2 linked regions of the Rhinolophus ferrumequinum genome follow. Each later gene encodes a partner of the first gene's protein in a complex. Links are inferred from orthologs where the notes say so. Each region holds a gene or a part of one and is shown on either strand. Other genes may lie near its edges. The genes, in order: WASHC4 and WASHC3.

What was found.
Region 2: WASHC4 (region 1) and WASHC3 share a complex: the UniProt entries of both Homo sapiens proteins name them as parts of the WASH core complex. The link is inferred for Rhinolophus ferrumequinum from reciprocal best matches to the Homo sapiens genes WASHC4 and WASHC3.

The regions. Positions count from the first base shown.
Region 1 is NC_046293.1:15,082,489-15,093,275, reverse strand, and holds the start of WASHC4 (WASH complex subunit 4), read left to right. Parts: upstream 1-5,601; 5' UTR 5,602-5,669; coding exon 5,670-5,730; intron 5,731-8,579; coding exon 8,580-8,719; intron 8,720-9,643; coding exon 9,644-9,697; intron 9,698-9,787; coding exon 9,788-9,853; intron 9,854-10,600; coding exon 10,601-10,646; intron 10,647-10,787. UniProt on the Homo sapiens protein: Acts as a component of the WASH core complex that functions as a nucleation-promoting factor (NPF) at the surface of endosomes, where it recruits and activates the Arp2/3 complex to induce actin polymerization, playing a key role in the fission of tubules that serve as transport intermediates during endosome sorting.
Region 2 is NC_046293.1:17,288,365-17,299,652, forward strand, and holds the start of WASHC3 (WASH complex subunit 3), read left to right. Parts: upstream 1-5,804; 5' UTR 5,805-5,908; coding exon 5,909-5,959; intron 5,960-6,524; coding exon 6,525-6,623; intron 6,624-11,288. UniProt on the Homo sapiens protein: Acts as a component of the WASH core complex that functions as a nucleation-promoting factor (NPF) at the surface of endosomes, where it recruits and activates the Arp2/3 complex to induce actin polymerization, playing a key role in the fission of tubules that serve as transport intermediates during endosome sorting.

The sequences.
Region 1 (10,787 bases):
TTCGTCCTCACGAAAGGATCCTGTCAGGTCTTTAGGATGAGATATGGTTTCTGAACCATAGGGAGCAGTTTAAACACTAATGCATATCACCAGATTACACCTAAAAGGTGGGATACAAAAAGTGATCTTTTTCTTAGCAGCTCTGGGGATTATCATCAGCCTTTATAAAATATGTATATTTTAATTTTTTTTATTTAAACTAAACAAGAAAACCCAGTTCAACCATTTCTAACTGCTTTAATTAAAGGGCAAATCTTGTCAGATTGCTTAAAAAAACAAAACTCTTACAAGGGAGACTCATAAAATGTAAAGTTCAGAATGTGATTTTTTTAGAAACCACCCATACACTAACCAAAAGAAAATGTTAATCTGACAGAAAGACATAAAAATTTTAAATTTGTATATGCTTAGTAACATAGTCTCAAATTTTATAAAGCACAAATGATCAGAATTTCAAGGAAAAATAGACAAACCTGCAAGTATACTTGAAGATTTTGACATACTTTACTTAATAACTGATCGAAGCAGACAAAATACTAGCAATGACACAGAACATTTAAATAAGATGATTAATGCACTTGACCTAATTAACAAATACAGAAGCATACAACTACCAAATACACATTCTTTTTAAATGCGTACAAGATATTGTCAAAAATTCACCATATGCTAGCCTCTAAACACTTTAAATCATAGAGTACGGCTCTGGCTACAGTGGAATTAAGCTAGAAATCAACAACAAAAAGATAATTGGTGGCATCACCACTTCTTTGGAAATTATAAAATGCACTTCTAAATAACGATAGGGAAAGTTGCTGGAAGAGATGGTATGTTATTTGCCTTTCCCAGTGTTGGTGTTTGAGGGAGCACCGTGTGTCTATAGACATTCCCAAGACATCTTTGCTGAGACGAAGGAAATGAGAGAAAAGTGCCTAGTCTAGAGAAAGCTGAAGAAGCAAAGTTGAAAGCAAGTTACCCTTATCTAAGATGAAAGTTTGGGGCCTGAAATAAACTTTTTTCAGTTTTTCCTATTTATCTTTCACTTGCCAGCTTTTGGAGCAGGCATTCCTTTTGGATCTTGTTTCCATTAGTATAACTGCTTTCCTGTGACCCAATATTATAGTAGATGACAACCTTGAGAGTATCCACTGACAGATTGTCAACTGCAGGAAGCATGACTGACTGATGGGTTCAGCTGTTGTACTCCAAAATTGATCTCCACATTCACACTGAGTCCATGCCTCCCATGGGTTTCTCCCAGCCAATGACCAAGAGGGCCAGGTATACTAAGGCAGGTCATTCCTGGGAGATGTAGATCACGGTCATGAGGTGACTCTCTATTGGCCTACCAGATTTTCTTTGAATTTCAGAGCATTTTAATACTCTTCCCTAGCCTACTTTTCTTCCTTCTCTCCTTCTCTCCTGAATTGCAGCCTAATGGGTGTCTTAGCCTTCCCTGGCTCCGCTCTCCCTTTCTTCTTACAGCTGTTTCCCCTAATAAATCCCTCCCATGTCTAATCTCATCTTGGCATCTCCTTTGAGGACCAAATACATACAATAAAAAGGATCAACAAAACCAAAAGTTGGTTTTTTGAAAATAAAATGGATAAACTTTTGAGGAGATTGATGAAGAAAAAATAGAGAAAGCAGAAATAACAAATATCAAGAACAGAGAAGTGAACATTAGACCAGATCATACAGACATTAAAAACATAAAATGAGACTTCATTTTAAGTTATAATACTCCTTTTCAGCAGAACAACACTCATCAAGAATAGTTAGTATATTTCGATAAAACAAATTTAGCACATATCTGAAGGCATCAGAAAGCTTATGCAGCAGTCAAGACTTGATGTATCAAGGTCTTGGAAGGAAAAGAAGCTCACTTGAATTGAATCCAACAATTCAAATGTTGAATTGAATCTAACATTTTGCATTTTGCTCTTCAACTTGGCATTTATCAATGCTTGGTTTGGGGAAAGAAGCTGACCAGGTAGCGAATAAATGCCAAAAGGCAAAGAAACCAGCAGTTTTTCAGGCATCTGATGGGGTTAGAAAGAACAACAATTGGAGTTTGAGTGGCCAGGACTTGAGGAGCCAATATTTTAAAGATAAGGGAGATGTACCTATTTCACGACACCTGTTTTCAGTTTGAGTTATTTGCTGATTCTTATGGAATATGGGATTAAGGCTATAAAACTAAGAAGAAAATGCTGAAAAGCAAAGCAGTTTTCAGTATCAAGAAACTGAATAGTATCAAGAAACACCTGCCAAGAAGAAGGGAGTCCAGTGAACAGCTCAGGCTCTCAACTGCTATTCTAAGAAGACATCACCCTAGGAGAGAGTGTGATCTACAGGTAGAGCACTACTGTAAGACCAGCCCACTACTTGGGATAACAGTATCCTGGTTTTCCTCTGAGGATCTGCTTCTCCCCCTCTCTTAGGCCATGTGGTTCCTATGAAGTTACCTCTCCCTCAACCCCTCCCTGCAGGATCCAGTGGTGAAGCACATGACCTAGACTAAGCCAATCCGTACATCCTTCCCATCCCCTGACTTACAATGATTGGTTCAGCAGTATACACAATGTGTTAGTAATGAGGCGAATCAAGGCCAGCCACTTAATTCTGGGACTTCTGTTTGAGCTATCAGTTGCATGTTCCTTTTTTCTCTTTTGCTAGATCTGGTATGGTGATGAGCCTGAAACTGCCAAGGGCTACCACATAGCAAAAGCTGTGAAGAAACAAAAAGAAAAAGTGAAAATCCAAGAGCTGACATCATTTAAATCCTGAAGTCCAATCCTGAAGTCACATGTGAAGGCCAATCCCACAAAGAGATGTATTAAAATTAACATACAGCAAAATGGCCTTTATTTTTGGTATACAGTTCTGAGTTTTAACAAATGTATAGATCTCTGTAAGGAACCAATCAGGATACAGAACAGTTCTACTCCCCATAGCCCCCACCCCCAAATTCCTTGCCCTATCCCTTTGTAGTCATGTCTACGAACCACCCCTTAATCCTGATAACCACTAAAATGTTCTCTACCACTGTAGTTTTATTTCCTCAAGAAAGTCAAATGAATGTAATCACAGACTGTGTAACTTTTTAGACTGATTTTCTTCATTAAACATAATGCACTTGAGATTTGTGCTAATATTTAGGGAATTCCAGGGATTTTGAGATTCTTCTGTTATTGATTTCTAATACAATTCCATTGTGGTCAGAGAATATAACTATAACATTTCAATCCATTTAAATGTAGTGAGACTTGTTTCGTGGCATAGTATATGGCCTGTCTTACTGAATATTTCTTGTATGCTTGAAAGAATGTCTCTTTTACTGTTGTTGGGTAGAATGTCTTATACATATCAATTCGGACAAGTTGGTTGAGATATCATTCAATCCTATATTCTGTCTACTTGTTATATCAAATACCAAGAGAGAAGTGTTAAAATTTTCAACTGTACTTATAATTTTATCTATTTCTTCTTTCTATTCTGTCAGATTTTGGTTAATAAAACTTTATCACTCATTATCAAAAAATGCCAATTCGGTGACTCTCTGTGATATTCTTAAGAAAATTATTGTGGTTTTAATTTAGAAAGAAGTAAGTTTGCTTGGACTCAAACCTTGTAGAGTACAGCAGCTTATTTTTCTGCTTAGTTCTTCATTTAGACAAAGATTTGGCCAGTGTTTTTGCTCAGATTTTGGAGTTCACTCCCTTTGTAGTTCCCTTGATTATCAGTTTTTCCTTCTAAATTTCAAGCTGCTCTGTGAGCCCAACCTCTGTTCTCCGCTATCTTAAACCCACAGGGTGTTAGCTTTTGCTACCTGATGTGCACATCTGTTGGAGAATATGTGCATCAAAGGGCAGCAAACACACCTCTCAACAGTTGTTTTTCAAGGACTCCTGACTGCTATTTCAGCAGACCCTCTTTCATGTAGTTTAGTGGTCAGCCAGGAATCAGGGCAGGGTTTATATTCGGAATTTAGATTTCATCCCTTCTGTGTGTCCCTTGCTTCAGGATTCCCCCCTACCCCCCAAATTTCTGGCATCTCTTCCAACAACCCTGAACTTAATTTTGCTCCACCTCGAGCCAGTAAAACTGCAGTGTTGCAATCCTGTATTTGAAGCGATGAAAGACACTGTCAGGCAAAAAGCCATAAACATAATTATTACCAGTTGCTGAATAAATTTTCCTGTGGTTTCTGCCTGCTTTTATTCTCTTTCAGATCTTTAAAAAGTTATTTTTATCTACTTTATTAACTGCAAACCAGTCTATTTGAGTACTTTAGGTTGCCTCCTTGCCTCCAGGACCTAGAGGTGTCCTGTCAATTACTTTGATGTATTAATTATAAGACTTTTCTAAGATCATTATGCTTTTTAAATTAGGTTATTTCAACCCACTCTGTAGACTACAGCTTATATAGAAAGACTTTTTTTTTTCTTATTTTGCTCTTCTGAAGTTAAAGTAAGGGCTGGCAAACTTTCTCTTAAGGGCCTGATAGTAAATATTTTAGCCTCCTGGGCAATATGGTCACTGTAGGGACTACTCCACTCTGCCATTGTGTTATGAAGCAGCCATAGACAATATGCAAATACATGGGCATGATTGTGTTCCATTAAATCTTTATTTACAAAAGCAGGTGGCAGATCTATCAACTGTACTTTGTTGATCCCTGAGTTAAAATATCTTACTAATTTCCCTTACCAGACAACCGAACTCTTTGAAGGGTTTTAGTCCCTGTGGTAATATTAACCAGAGGAGGTCTTGATTAAATACTGGTTGAAGACATTAACAGTTTTCGCATGCCTCTATAAATCTATTTCATTTCGTTTGACAGATATCTAGTATTTCATAGTGTGGATTATTAAACTTTACGTAATTATTCCCTGTTGATGGACATTTGTATCTTGTCCTATTAGTATCTGTTAAAAACCATGCAGCAATGAACATTAGTGTAAGTAGCGTTACTGGGTAACACAGATTCTTATTTTCGGAAAAGCCAGGTAGCAGGTAGACATTTAAAAACACACTTAGACAGCGCTTTCCCCCTCCCCCCACCTTTGAGAGCAGGGGGAGGAGAGCGTGCAAGTATCACATAAGTAGAGTAGTAAAATTCCTCGCTATGGTTTGTTGTTTGTAAAGTCACTATTCCTCGCAGTTCTTTGTTTTTTTCAAGAACGATCCGCACAAGACGTGCAGGAAGAAAGCAGCTCTCGGATGGTGATGACAGGTAGAGCGTTGAAAATGCTGGCTTCTTGGAAGAATCGCCTGGACAGCGACTTCCTCGAGGATCGGACCACGCCTTCCTGTTAAGCCCCCACCTCATCAATTTTGCCCTTTTTAGGCTCGACTGAGGGAGCAACTCCCAGGTATTAAAAGTAGCTTGGAGACAGCAGGGCGAAATTGAGGGTATAGGTGTGGCATCAGAAGAGAGCAGTGGCGAAGCCCAAGTAGAAACGGGAGGACACCGTGAGGACCGCCGCCTCAACTGCAGCTCCCTTCGGCCACCGGGTAGGACTCGCTTTCCCAGCGGCCCCCGCGCCCCTCGCGCACGGGGGTGGTGCCAGAGCCGGAAATCACGTGTTTTGACAGCCGCTGGGGTGAGGCCGCCGTAGTCCACCAGGCTGGCTGGAGCTGTGACTGAGGGAGGCGTCGTAGTGATGGCGGTGGAGACTCTGTCCCCGGACTGGGAATTCGACCGCGTCGACGACGGCTCACAGAGTAAGGGAGCAGCAGGGATAGGGCTGCGGGTGGGAGCTTCCGCTCCGGCCTCAGCCTTGGCGGCGTTTCTGCGGGAGGGCTTGCGTCGCGGTCGCTGCGCAGCCGTCGGGTTCGGGGCACTTTCTGCCCATTGAGAGGGACGCGTTCTCAAGCGCGTTACTTTTGGGGATAAGGGTCCCAGCAATGGCGGGTCAGGCTGGCGCGATGAGGGCTCGGCATTCGGGGCGGTGACTCTCCAGAGGAGCCCGCGGTGCCCCTGGGGGAGCGGCGTCCACTTTCTGCAGCCGGGGGACGCGGGCGGGGCGTGTCCAGGGAGGCCCAGCAGCCCCGGGAGCGGAGGCTGGTCCTGTCTTTGGACTCTCGGGGCTTTCGCCAGATCATCAGAGCGTTCAGTTCTAGCAGAGGCTGAGGTCCGGGTTCCTGTTTCGGTTTCCTGTTTTTCTTTTTTCCCTCCCCAGTCAACTTTTGGAAGTTTGAGTGGTTTTTCCTTCACATTCTTACAACCGTTGAAGATAGCGAAAAGGAACTCTTCTCATGGTGAAATTAACACGTGATTGCTAATTTATCTCCTTCCATGTCTTTTATTTACGTTAAATGAAAGTGATGTCCTGTACTTTCCATTGTCGCTAGAAAGGTTTCAAAAATTACAGCAAATCTGCCTCACGTTTTGCTTCATAAAATCGAGTTGTCTGACTTTAACTTAGAATCCAGTGACAGGAAACTGACCAATTTAGTTCCACGTAGCAAAATTTAGAGGCCAAACTAATTATTGTAGTGAAACTCTTAAGATTAACACAAGTTGGCAGTCTGTTTTTTTGGTGCTATTAATCTGTTTAAGTGATATTGGAGATACTGGGACATACTGCTTGTGAATTTGTTTTTAATACAAGTTTTCCAAAAGGTGAATGTAATTTTAAAAAATTACCTATGAATTTTGCTTGATTTTATAAAGAAAGAGTGGTGTACAAACTTAGGTGTAATTAGGTTTTAGTCTTTCAAAGAAGCGTGAGTAAATTAAGGGATGGTTTGCAGTTTTTCACTCTATAAGGTATTAGCTCTTTTGCAGCCTTAGAAAACAATCTTGGTGGTGATAACAAAATTCTCTAACTTTTTTTGTGGAGAGGATTCTGTATTTACTGTTACAAAGTGAACTGCACCTTATCATGTATGAAGGTCTATGGACAAAGGTCCCCAACTCTGCCTTTGGAGTAAAGAATGAATTCTTATGTGTAAAATAGAATATTTACTTTCATCTTCAAAAAATTGTGATAAAAACATCTTATTGGGTTTAAAAATGGTTCACCTTAGAGTACAGTGATCTGATTCACTCAGCAGACGTTTTCTGTATACCAGTTGCTATGCTAGGTATTAGGGATACAAAGATAAAACAAAGAATGTAGTCTGTTGGAAGAGATAAGCATGTAAATTGGTTTTTGGAATTTCACTCTTGAATAATCACCACATAGTTTTTTACTTCAAATTTTTTTATTTTAACTTTTACTAATTTTACAACTATTTCTTATCAGCAAGGAACTTGAATGTTATTACAGGTTTTCTGTTGCCTGATACTTTGTGAATTCCCAGACTAAATAAGTAATTTATTGGCATGTTTTTCTAGTATTGTCATTAAGAACTTATTTGTTGAATAAATACAACTAAGGTCATTTTCCATGTAACTGAGAATTAAATGTGTACTTGGGATTTTGAGAATCTTACACGGTTTTTATTTTAAGCTATAGGGAAGAGCTCATCTCATCTCTTCTCTGTGCCTGATTTTCATTAATTTTTGGACTATGAATCATATCTAGACTAATTGTTTTTCAGAATTGCCTAGATTAATGAGAACCTTAATGAACTAAATGGATCCACCTGATTCAAGTGCATTAGTTGCAAAATAAGGGAGAATGGGGAGCTAGATCTTTATTTTATCCTTAACGTATCAGAAGATACTTTATCTTAGAGTTGCTTCTCATTGCTAATTTGAGGAGAGACAATTGTACCTTTTTTAGAAGACAGGGATTGGATAAAGTTAATAAAAGAAACTGAGTCGGAGTTGAATTTGCTGCTTTTGTAATAAATGAATTCTTATGTATGAGGTGGAATACGTATTTACTTTCATTAATATTGACCAATAGGCATAGCTTTATTGTTAAGTTTATTCCAATGCCTCTTTGGAGTCATCTATTAATGTGTAAATTCTGTAAATATCACCACATTATTCTGTACTTAGTGTTCTTTACTGGCTTTTCCAACTCTATTATGATAGTTAAATAATGAAAGCAAATCTTGGTAAATTTGGGGGCATTGCAATAATAATCATTATGATGAAGCAGGTCTAAATGCATTTTAAAAACATTTATATAGGTGTATTTTTAAACAGGTGCATAGAATTAAGAATTATGTTTTTAAATTTTGCTTGTATGACAACACAGATTTTTACACTTAATTCAGGTCATGAATTTATTTTATTTTTTGCAAAAATGTTGTTTAAGCCTAAAACATAAAATTAAGACATTGCATAGTCTAAGGAATTATTCAGATTGTTTAAAAGCCCTGGATTATAGGGTAAATGGTAATGACTTTTTCATACTACTTTAAAATTAGTTTTAAGGTGATATATATCTCTCTGTATATGGCAACATCTGCTTTTAATATTATTTTATCTGGAAAATATTGAAAGCTGAATTACCGTTTAACTTTGAATCTTTATTTTCAAGAAGTCCAGACATTCCAGAGTAATACATTTAGTAATGCTTAGTATCTACTTCGCTGTGACTTTTGAGATTATATAAAGTAAATGTCGTGTCATTTTTGTACTTCTCACATGTTGTTTTAAAATTTAAATTTAGAAATTCATGCTGAAGTTCAACTTAAGAATTATGGGAAATTTCTTGAGGAGTATACATCTCAATTGAGAAGAATTGAGGATGCACTAGATGATTCAATTGGAGATGTTTGGGATTTCAATCTTGATCCCATAGCATTAAAGGTTTGATTTTTTTTTTTTGTATACATTTTCAGGACATATTATATCTTGAAAACATAATTGTTAAAAATGGAGCATATATTATTTGGAATCTAGAAAATAAAAGAAATTTGGAGAAAATTGTTAATTTCCTTTTCTATGCTATGCAGATATTTTTGTATGTTTTTGTTTTTTTTTTAAAGAATGACACACACTCAAAGCCTTTAGTGTCAAGAATGTCACATAGTCCATCCAACTCTTTGAGCTAGCCTTTGTTTTTCATTTTCAAGAAAATGAAGAAGATTGGAATAGAATATTCAGGCTGCATTTGTTTCTTATAGAGGTTATTTTGCATACAATGAAATGCATAAATTGAAAATATAGTGTTCAGTGATTTTGCCAAACACATATACCCATGCAACTCATATCTCAATCAAGATAACAGAATATTTTCATCATTTACCATAAGTTCCTTTATGTTATTTAGGGGATCTTAATGTAGGAATAATTTTGCAATGTATAAAACAGGTTATTCTTGCTTTGTTCCATTTTGAGGTAGTTCTATCTTGTTTTGTCTTTGAAACTATAGCCTGTTACCACTTAAATAATAACATTTATTGAGCATTTATTATGTACTAGTTCTAAATCACATATTGACTTTTTAAATAACAGCTTTCTTGAGATATAATTCACATATCATTCAATTCCTTGCTTTTTAATGTATTCACAGAATTGCGCAACCATCCTTAGAGCCATTTTAGAACATTTTTACCACCCCAAATAGACATCCTGTACCCACTAGTAGTTACTCCCCATCTGGTATGGTGCTAGTATTGAATATAGGGTCTAATACAAGTTAAATAGAATAGAGCTAGTCTCAATTTGTGCATTTAAGATTTCAGTGATTCTTTTCAAATTAAAAAGATGTTCTTTTCCTTGTTTCTATAGCTTTTGCCTTATGAGCAGTCTTCCCTTTTGGAACTCATAAAGACTGAAAATAAGGTACGGATTCCTAAACCTAAAAATCTATGTCTAAAATGCTTTAGTTATCTGCTATAATTTTCTTTTTTATCTTTTTACTCATGAAACTAGGTCTTAAACAAAGTCATCACGGTTTATGCTGCACTTTGTTGTGAAATCAAGAAATTAAAATATGAGGTAATTATTTGTATTCTTAAGATGTTAAAAACATTTAAAAGCAAATATGTGTTTAAATATATACAGTATGCATGAATATTTATTTATTTAAAGAAGTAATAATAATAATAATGACAGAGTACTTACTATGTACCAAGCACCATGCTAACTCTGTTAATACTTACAACAACGCAGGACGGTATGTAAGGAATAGATGGGGAAACTGAGGCTTAAAGAGGGTGTCACTTATCTAACATTTTACTGGTAGTAATTGTTTGCGTTTGGGTCTGCATACTTTCAAAGTCTGTGTTACCTGCCCTATATACTAGTGGCTTTCTGGATGTAACTGATTTTTTTAAGAAAGCTTTGAATTTTTCATATGTTTTGCATTTCCTTGTCCATGAGCAATTAAAACTCTGGGAGAAGTTGGTAAACTTTTTTCTCTGCCTTTTTGATACTATGTGTTTGCTTTCTATCTCCCATGGACAAATGGGAGGACGTGGGACAATTAGAGCGGTCAGATAAGACCAAGTAAAGGCTAAAGAAATCAAGAAATGACTTTGACTGTCTATCAGTAATATTTTTGGTACTCTAAAGATAAATTGAATTTACCTGTATTGTAAGCAGTTTTTGAATTTTAAATGAATTTGTTGTGAATAAGTGATGTAATCCTCTGCTTATTATGAAATATGGATTGCTAAGAGAGCCTTGGAATTTAAAAACAAAATAGCAACTTTTACAATTATTTTAATTTTTTTTTTAAAACAGGCTGAAACTAAATTTTATAATGGTCTCTTGTTTTATGGAGAAGGAGGTGAGTTTTAAAATTTCACATTGTAATGTTGTGATGCCTTTCTTGAGATTCAAATGAGCTTTAAAAAATTAACACAATTCTAGGACTATCGTAATGTAATAGTGTGAGAAAATAAGCATTCAGATTTTTTGTTGGTTTATT
Region 2 (11,288 bases), about 2.2 Mb from region 1:
AAGCCAAGTGGCGTAACAAAAACTTGAAAAGCAGGAGGTACCTGTACCCCCAGCCATCTTACGTAAGCCTTCATACATCAAATTGGCAGTCATTCACATTAGCCAATCTCCAGCTGTATCCCTGCCCTGCCTTGCCTTTCCCGATGAGGCAGAAAAAGAGTTAATGACAGTGGACCCAAGCGGGATGGCCCAGGCCTGCAGCCCCTCCCCAGGAACTGCCCAGCCTGGTCTCAGAGATAAGCTTCAAACACCCCTTAAAAAGGCAGATAAGACCCCAACGGGATTGAGTTTGTTCCTGACACCTGTGCAGATGGCTGAAGCCTAACCGCAATTAGAATAAAATGAGCATTAAGGTTTGGCACCCCTGTGGGTTTTTCTGTATGCATTATGGATAAGAGCATGCACAGAAACTCGTTATGTAACCTGCATACGTCAATCAAATGATCTCAGAGGGGCGTCACATCTCCTGCTGTAAGAAAATTTACCTGCCTTTTTCTATATAAGAAAAAGCTATCCTAGAGGAAAGGGCAGCCGTCTTCCCAAGACACTGACACTAGCTTCCTTTCTCCTGACTAATAAAACCTCTCCTTGCTTTCTCATTTGTCTGAGTCTTGTGAATGCTTTCACACTCTGCAACTGACCAGGGGTATCTAAAGATAATACATTTCCCACAGAAACCCCAATAAAGACCCTGGCCTAGGCTTTCCCCTGGCTCCTGCTTCTGTCTACCTCCTAACCAAAACCTAATGGCTCTGTGTGGCATGCATGCCCCTTTCTCCTGGGAAATGTAACTAAGAAATTCTCTCAATAGCATTAGCCTCTCTGTTTCATCACTTAGGCACCTGTATGTATTAAAACTCACGGGTACAAATGCAACTGAGACCTTTCCCCAACCCGCTCAAGGAAAGCAGTACCATCTGGCTACCTGTTTTATTGGAGACCCCCCCCCAACTGTAAGTATCTTTCGATCTCCTCTTGAAGTAGTCATCTTTCTAGAGGGGAATCCAGTCTCCGGCCTAGAGGATATAAGCCTACAACCCAGCTTTCTGAGTGAAGTTCCAAAAGCCAGAACAATTAAAAGAAGTAGCCTAAAACAACGAATTCTTAACACAATGGAAATAACTAGGATAGAATTCTTTCACTTGACTAACACTATTTTCCCTTTTCAACAGACAATTGGTATCACTCCTGAAGGGTGAGGTGGGGCAGGGATAGGGGACATTTTATTTGCCCACTATTATGAACCAATACATACCCCTTTAACTGTTCCATCTGAAGCAGAGCAGAAAGAAACACAAAAGAAAAACGGGAACTCAATTCTCATTATTTACCCCACCTAGAACTTACCCATGATGAAGTTAAATGGCAGTGATTTTTCTAGTAATCTGCTATGAAAACCAAGATAAGTATTGAAAAATTAAGATTTTTTTTTTATTGAACAGATAGATGCAGATGGCATATTAGTCTCTGCCCTTTGAAGCTGGTATCCATTACAATAAACTTGTTTTGCTATCAAAATTCACTACGGTAAATGAAATATGCTAATACATTTCCAATGAGAGAAAGCCTGCAGGAAGAAGAACATATTTCAGAGGATTTCTGGCAGTTGGCCAAGACTTACAGCTATAGATTGTTTTTAATAGTCCTGGAAATTCAGTGACTAAATTGTGACTGGCATTGCTGTCAGGAGCTAGGGATGATTGATGATCAAGGACCCCAGGAAGCAAAGAAAAACTGCCACTCTTCTTTCTCTTAACTAGAACTCTCCTCTTCTAGAATTATATTTGTCTTTTGTTTTATAAAGAAACCGAACCACTGTGAAAAAAAAGTGTTTTGTCAATTGGCCGACTGAGAACAAGTTCATGTTTCTATAATTCTATTTTATACATATATAGAGAACAGATAAATACATAACCATAAAGCGGATCTCTGATTTCGTTTTGTCTTTTTTTCCTATCTGGTTGGGAGCCTCTCCTGGCTCTGGAGAGGAAGGCTAGACTCTAGGCTGGCTTAGTTGGGATTCTGCTTTGGGGAGCTGATTGAAACAATTTATCCAGAATTGTGGGTCCCACCTAAATCAAGGATTCGTGTAAGCTGTGAAAGCACAAGGGTCATTAGGCCCCAATGCATTCAACAGGTACTGAGGGTTTACAATAGATCAGACATTGAGCTAGGGCATTAATAGTGAACAAGGCAGAATCTCTGCCCTAAATCAATGGTCTAGTGCTTCAGACAAACAAGTAAGTATAATATGTACTGAGATGAAGTGAAGCAGAAGATGCTATGGAAGGAAGCATGTATTTGGAGGAACAGTTAATCTAGTCTTGATGGATGAGGGAAAGCTGCTCTAAGGATAGGATGATTAGACTTCTGCCACTGATTAGGATATAGAAAGATGTCAGAAAGCCTCTCACATTTGTAGTAATAAGAAATAACCAGATAAAGTAATCACACTTTTCCATGGGGTTGTTGGGAAGCAGTGGATAGATCTTAATAATTAAATTCTGACAGGTATTTATGTCTAGAGGGACACAGGTGAGCAGAGAGCTGTGCATTGCCATACTCAAGAAGAAGGGTCTGGTCTGGGTATAAGTAGATGGAAGAGCAAGCCTGTGACACTCTGGGAAAATGCAGAGTCAAGAAGAAACCAGCGCAGACTTTGCCAACAGTATAAGCTGGTGGGACAGACTTGGGTCTGGAAGGAACCCAATCACAAAAATAAATCACTTAGGCCTCCATCCCAGCCCCCAGGTTGCTAAGATTGAACATGCAAGGGAGAGTGTGCCTGAAATAGGAGAGTACAGGACAAGATCCCAGGAGGAGAATTGCCGGAACTGAGAAATCAGGATACCAGAAAGATGATCTCTGTAGATACTCAAATTTCAAGAATTACAACAAGAGTAGTGTTAGAAGGAATGGCAGTGAGCCATAAACTAAGGACTTCAAGGAATGAATAACAGTAACCTAGGAGCCTGCAGATGACCGCTACGAGGATGTCATTTTATGTCTGATAGCATAAACCCAGAGCTGTGGGGCGTTTGTAAGGAAAAAGGAACAACAATGGTCTGAAAGCAATGAGAAGCAAGGAAAACACCCACCCCACCTCCTGGCCTAGTATTGTAAGGGTGTGGGTGAAAAAAGAACCACAGGATGAATAGGATGCTATATCCTCAAGAAACAGTCAAGCTTGAGTTTGAAGAGAAGAATGAGCAAAGATGAGATTGAGAAATGAAGATTTTGCCAATGACCCAATTCCCAAACCCTAGAGGAAGGGTCTAGAAGTTGGGGAGGGGTCAGGAAAGGTGATGTAGAAACCCATATGGTTGAGGTTGAGGAGAGCCTGAAGGATGAGGGATAACTTGGGAGTCCCGGACCAATTGTGAATGTTTTAAGGCACAGAGTAGTTGAGGAAAAGGTGTGTGTGGAGGGGGATTCGGGGGGGGGGCGGGGGGGACTCTTGCCAGAAGCAGGAGAGCTCATGAAAGAATGAGTGATGGTCTTCACTCCTACCAAAGGTGCTGTGTAGGCCAGGGAAGGGGTGCTCTTATCTGGAGCATGTAGATCTCGGGCGTGCAAACCTCACCACCTTTGTACATACTGTTCCTCTTTGTGGAATGCTCCTCCCCATTTGCTTCACCTTGCTAACTTTTGTATCTTCAAAATTCAGCTAAGACATCAGCTCCTCTAGGAAACCACACCTAATTTCATCAATCTGATCTGGGTGCTCCTGTTTGGGGCATACTTTAACCTAGACTACCACATTGTTAATCTTTTTGCATTTTTCTGTCTCCCTAGCTGGACTGTGAGCAACTTAATGTCTGTTTGCTTACTTGTTCATTATCTGTTTACCTTCATGAGGGCAGAATTTTTGTCTGTTCTGTTAACACTGTATCCCAGATTCATAGACTAGTGCTTGGCACATAGTAAGGAATATCTTGTGGATTGATGGATGGCTGGCTCTCTTCAATCCCTGACACCATCCCAGGTCATCCTAGATCACAGCCCTCAAGACCATGTATTAAAATTATTAATGAGTATTCATTAAAAAGCAGAGTGGCTGGTACTAAGTGAGGACTCATAAGAAAAGAAGATAATATTTACCCCAAGGAATTTAGTATATGTGCTGCCGAAGCGAGCACTTTACCCCAAGGAATTTATAACCTAATGGAAAAATTCCTACTCATGGACATTATCAAGGCAAAAAACATAAAGGACAGTTGCCTAGAGCTGTCACTCACAATGTTTATCTTATTTAGTGTGGCGCTAGTACAGTATTTAGAACATAGAAGATGCTCAATAGATGTTGTTGAAAAATAACAATGAAATATTCAATTATATGTGAAGAGATTATATAGTCACAATTACATAGATACAGAGACATGAAGAAATATATTTAAACATATTCCTCATCCTATCCATCCTCACTTCTACCTCCCATTTCTACGTCTACAAATAGTACTCTCAACTTTTCTGTTTCCAACTTTTATTGCACATCTATGTGCTAGGCAGCCTTTTTACAAATGTAAATCGTCACTCTCGTGTTCAGAATTTTTGAATGGCTCCATCACCTATAGAAATAACACCTTTTGGTTCAGAATAATGGTGGGGGCAAGCGAGGTTGATTAAAATGCGGATTTCCCCCAGAGGTCCTGAGTTTATCTAAGGTCAATTCCTGGAATGTGCATTGTAAGAAGCACCATCCACGCCCAAATAATTGATACAACTGGCCCATGGATCACACTTTGGAGAAACATGAACTAGAGTATCAAATCTGGCATAAAAGGGCCTTAATGAGCTCTTCTGTCCATTCCTGTCTCATTTGCTTCCATTTTCCATTTCTGGGATTTTTTGCTTCAGCACAACCAGTTACCCATTGCCTCTACAAACCATACTCCTCCATGCCTCTATGCCTTTGTTTGTACAAAGATCCACCCGAAATTGTCTGTCTGGCTAACTCCACTCAGGAACCTGCTAAAAAACTACCTTCTGTCGTTTAAAAGCTATCTTCTCTGGTTTTCTCAGAGGATTTAAAAGCACCTTTCGTCTACAATACCAAAGCACTTTGCCTCTGTGTGGGTGTGTGCGCACAACTTTCTCAGTATTGTTTGCACTAGATGTGGCAATTCCAGACTCTACGTCTGCCTTAGATTAAAATCTTCTTGAAGGCAGAGACGATTTTCTTCATCTTCTTAGTACTGAGCATCGTGCTTGGTATCTAGTAGAAGGGGTTCAACTTTTGGTTTGGTGACTTGTCCTAGATCACATAGCTGGTAAACTGCACAATCAAAATCTGAACCAAGATCTTCAAATCCCAGGTGCAGTCTTTTCAGGTGTCTGTGGCCCCTTTTTGATGATGTCTCTAAGTGGATATTTCCAACGTATTTCATGTTTTAAAGTCCTCTAAAAACAAGTCTTATCTTCTCTGTCAGGGCATAAAGCACAGCGGGCTTAATCTGACTCAATCTTGGTATTCCCCACAAGGCCTAGCAGAGTACCTGGCATTCAGCATAAAAAAAAAGTTACACACACACACACTTGATTAATGAATGACCCCTAGCTAAATATATTTAACAGATAAAACTAAGCAGGTATAACCTCAAAAGGACGCAATCATTTACTCTTCTTTTTTGCCTCGTTTTTAAGATTTTACTACGAGAACTGCAACCACGCTGCACCCCGCGTCTGACGTGACAAACCAGACCTAGAACTACCAATTCCAGAATGCCATGCGGGGGGCGTGCTCTCCGAGAGCCGCCGAATGATTGGCGAGCGGGGACTTTTCCTTCCGGCAGGAAGGGCCCGGGAGGCGGGGACTTGGGGGAGACGTTTAAACACTATTACCAGGTTGGGCGGGCCACGTCAGGGAGGACTTTGTGGGTGATCCCTGGGTCCCCCGCCCGCTGAGGAGATGGATGAGGACGGGCTTCCTCTCATGGGGTCAGGCATAGACCTGACCAAGGTTTGTAAAGGAAGGAGTTGAACTTCCGGTGACCTGGGAGGAGGATGGGGAAGGGACGCCCGATGCCCAGGGGGACCCCATCTCCCATGCCTCACCCTGTCCCTGGCCCCGGGCTTCTCTTCGGCCGGTCTCGGGAGGGAGAGTCCCACACTTCACCTTGAAAAGGGGTCCCTCCCGAGCTGTTTAAGGGGGTCGTGTGCCTCTCCCAGCCCTCGCTTCACGGGTCTCTATGCTCAAGGCGACATGGGCCGGTTGCGAACTCTAACCCCACCTCTTTTACTCGGCCCCCAGGTTTTTTGTGTGTTTATGTGTGCTGTCTTTACCGACAAGTTCTTACTTGTGAATCCAGAGCCCATTCTCAAACTTTTCTGCAGCTTCTGCCATCTTCGGACACCCCACCCCCACGATTTGGGAAAACAAACTATGGACTGCCTGTTGGCAGTACTAAAAGGGATTCGTGTCACACAGCTCATAAAACACCCCGTTATATTAATATCAAAGGGATTGCACAGTGTATCTTCCTCCTGTACGAATCACATATATATATATTTTTTACATAACACAGGTGCCAGCTATTCAGCAGAAAAGAACGGTGGCATTTCTAAACCAGTTTGTGGTGCACACTGTACAGTTCCTCAATCGCTTTTCTACAGTTTGTGAGGAGGTAGGTCCTGTGATACTGGTGTAATGAGTACCCTAAAAATCACTTTGCACTTCTGAAGACGGCAAATGAGTAAAACAAGAATTACAGTCTACTCTTCCCATATGAACCCAATTATGTTAACATACTTTAAATCCTTTTTGATTCTGTTACCATCAGTCCTGCACTCCACTTCTGTTGCATTAGTTTTCTAGAGGCCTTTGTGAAATAGTTCAGTAAAGCTTATGATTAAAGAGAACAAAAGGAATTCCAAAATTTCACAGTTGAAAACATTTTGTATTTTGAAATTAGTTATGTTTCTCTTACCCCAAAGATTTACATTTTCAAGTTCACATTGTTTCAGTTGATATTAAAATTATTTTACATCTTTGGAGCCAAAAAAAAAAAAAATGGGTAAGAAGGTAGCCTAGAAACATAGCTTTGGCATCAAATATCATTATGAAAATAAAAATACTTTCTGCAACTGATTTGTGAAGTGAGGATTAAGTACCCAATTAAAGATGAGAGATCCCTGTCTTTAGGGGGGAAAAAGGCAAAAAAGAGAATGGGGAGGAAATGGGAAACATGGGTTGAAATTGGATTTAAGAAAGGAGAAAGATAAACTCACATAATTCACAGGTGAGCCAATTAAATAAGCCTATTGAGTTCTTTATGTGTTGTATTTAACATAAGGTATAGCCTTAGCAAATGGAGTTTTTCTTAGATATCTGATTAATAAAAATTGCATGGAGAGAAGAAAACTATTTTCACTTGTAGATTTCAGCTGCTGTTTTTGTCTAGCTATCAAAATCTTTTCTGTCTTCTTACTAAGACAAAGGCACTGAAATGATAATTGATAGAGTAAGGGATTCAATTCAATATATTTTATCTAATAGGTCCAGAGACTAGGTGCTTGCTTCAGTGAGTTTTATATTGCTGCCTCTCTAAATGGGTGTAGAATTGACTGACCAAAAACCAGTAAACCAAGGATTTAGTCCTTCACTTTTTATGTCAGGGATGGGTAGAGAAGTATCTGGACAGCGACTATTCCAGGATTGTTAGTAGAGAGGAGCAGATACTCCATCCCCTCATCACTGGGTTAAAAAATAAACAGCAACAGCCAGCAAACACACCTATGAAAGCAACTTAACTGAGCTGCTCTGGGCCAAGGATAGCGCCTCACCTCTGTAGTGCCTCATGGTTTTCATGGCCTGGGCAGTGAGTACTGTCGACTGGGGACTAGATCAGATATAACAATCATCATCTCTTGTTTACTGATTTCTTAGGAATTATCAGAGCCTCGTGATTCATTCTTTTCTCCCCTTCTCAACTTCCTCTCTCAACTTCCCCTCAGCTGTTTTCACTGTATTGTTCACTATTCCCTAGTTCTTCCTTGAACTCTAGAGACAAGCTTGTTAACTAAAAACTCATGAAGTTTAAATGTTTATTGCCTTTTTCTCCTTAATGAATGATACTCTAGGTTGACTAGGACTCATTATTTACAATTCATATTTTAGCAGTTTGGATATAGTTGTAGACTGTTTGCTGGGTGTGATGACAGTGCTTATTCCGTGCTAGGCATTGTACTAATTGCTTTACATATCTTTAATCATTCCAGCCAGCCCTTTGGAAGAGGTCCAGCTATCTCTCTCTTAGAAATACAGAAACAAGATGTAGAGAAGTTTAAATCATTTGTTTAGCCATTCATTCATTCATTCAACATATATTTAAGTGCATAGTATTTATAGCTGCAGTAACTGCGCTAACTTGCCCACACTCACAGAGCTGGAAAATAGCAGAGCTGGGATTCCAACTCTGATCTACTCACTGGAAAAAACAAAAATGTCTCCCTATTCAGTTATATTGCATCTTCTGCCCTGAATAAGAGGCATGTTTACATCATTTGCAAGTGAGAGACTTCAAAGTGTCTTTTTTATAGCTATTTCAAATTGTATTTTTCAGATACGTATTCTCTTTGCTATGCCATATCCCTTTGATGTAATGTCTTTTTGATATGATGAATTCAAAGGACATAATATATGTGTTCAAACATAAGGTGCCATTTTATTCCAAGTTAAGATTAATGTGGTTTTTTGACATGGCACCTAGTAGGTCTATAATCCTCATTTAAAGCCTCAAACAAGAACCCAAATGACTGTTTCCCTCAACAAAACATGAACCTCAGCTGTTATGTGTTGAACTGGAAGTTAATGGGGGAGGGAGGGAAGAAATACCTGTTTGTGTTTTGTTTTTTGTTTTTCATACAATCTGGTTTGAACCAAACCCAAACTGTAACAACTTCAGTCACTGCTAAACTTAAACTGTAATTAAATTTGAAATAAATTGCTGGGGCTCTCTTCATCACTAATACTGGTTTTAGAGTTCTCTAGTAAAGAGAAAAGTGAAGAACTTAACTTTTAAAAAACTTTCTGGATACCAGACTACTTTGTAACTGTTCTAATGACTGGATCCAGGGTAGGAAAGAAGTTAGAAGAGGGAGAAAGGAAAGTAGCTGAATCAGATCCAAGTTGCAGAGTTACTTAGGGTCATCTCTTCACAAATCCCCAGTAAGCATTTCTACTCTGGCCCTAATCAGCAAAATCTTATGGTGGTCCATTGGGACTGCTAATTTAAATTGGGAGTGGGGTGGGTGGGGCATTCAATGCAAGTTCTATGCATATTGCAGATAAAAGTGAGCAGAAATTTAACCTTATATTGAATTTTAAAGTCAAAGCTACTCTATAAACAGGATAGTCAGATGTGTCATTTTGACTCAGACTTGTAACATGCCTAGAATACTGGGTTTTTAATCATTTAAAACATATTCTAAAATGTTTCTTTTTGTTTCTAAAATCTTAAGTATAGGCAAAACTGCTGAGAATTCTCACATAATCTAAAAAACTTTACAGTGCTTATCTTCTACATCCAGTTTTAAGCCCACCATCGGACTTATCAACCAAATAATGTTTTGTTTAAAACTATTTATTGCTACAAGTTTTTACAACTGCTTTTACAACTTTTACAACTGCTGGGCTTAAGTGTCAGATGAAGCTTAATAAAACCAGCAATTGCTTCCCTTTCTGGCTGTTCGGACACGTACAATCCAGTGTGATATACCAAGAGATCCATTATTTTAAAATACTGTTTCTCTTTTAGAGAATTGGATATGCACACTGGATATTTTACAAACCTAAAAACCACAGTATTTTATTTTTGTTTCCATGTTTAACTATTCACTCCATATTTCTTCCTTTCGTCTTCTTTTTCACTTTAATAAAATACTCTGCGTTAGAAATAGATGGGTGATAAATCAAGAAGTTTTCAGCTCAGCTTACAGATTTCAGGTAACTTGTAAATTCCTCTACTGTCCCAAGCCAAGGTATATTTCAGGTTTGCTTTAAATCCTTATAAAGATAAAAGGGTGGCTAAATACATGGGAAACTGATGTCTTTCCATTTCCTCCTTGCTTAAACTTTCAGAGATGGGCACAGTTACTCTCGTTGGTTATATTATTTATATTCATAGTCAAGTCATCTACACGTTAAAGCAGTGGTTCTGAACTACGAGACATTTGGCAATGTCAAGAAATATTTTTAGTTGTCACGACTGGAGAGTACTAGTGGCATTGAGTGGATAGAGGTCAGAGATTCTGCTACACATCCTATAGTGCACCAGACAGCCCCCCACAACAAAGAATTGTCTAGCCCAAAATGTCAGTAGACCCAAGGTTAGAAACTTGCTTTGTAGTAGTCTGGGGTTGTACAAGGAAAATGCAGAAGGCATCAACATCTTAGAAATGAACTTCAGCAGCCCATAAATGAAGCCAGGTATAGTTGATCAAGTGACAATGGCTTTTCTAAAGAGTATGTATTTATGTACTTTATAGGAATAATTATATGTTATGGGAATAACAGTTATACCAAATTATCTTTGAAAAGCAGAGATTCTTAATTTGTGCCATGTACACTTTGGTAGTCTAATGAAACAAAATTTATGTTTTTAAATGTATAAAATAAAATGTATAGGATTACAAAAGAAATCAATTACATACTTTAAGAAAAACTCAAAATTTTGACGTAGTATGTCTTTTATTAAAGCATTATATTGTATAATCCAGATAACATGTAAATTTTAAGAGCCTCGTGCTCTACCGACTGAGCTAGCTGGGAGCCTCTATGTAATCTTTTAGACTCTCAAAAACCAGCTCTAGAGAAGATGGATAATACTTTTATGGATAATAAAATAACGTGGTTTATCTACAACAAAAATCTTCCCTAGCCAGGAGAAAAAGTCATTGTTGATCAGATTTTAAGAAAATCATTTGCATAGTAGTTTTAAACTGGGGTACATGAACTTGGATGACAAAATAACTATATTTAACTTAAATTTCACAGTTTCTTTAACTTGAAATTTAGTCAGCAAAATTCACAGTAGTATTCACATCCTGGGAAGGACGGCGTGAGATTTTTATCACGCTATGCATTTTAATAGCATGCAATTTAAAACTTATGAATTGTTTGTTTCTGAAATTTTCCATTTAATATTTTTGGACCATGGTTGACCATTCGTAACTAAAACCACAGATAATGGGGGACAACTGTACTTCACAGTTATTGTTGTTATTAGATTAAATGTCAAAGATGTTTTGGATAAATTATTATACATTATAATATATTGATGTTTAGATCA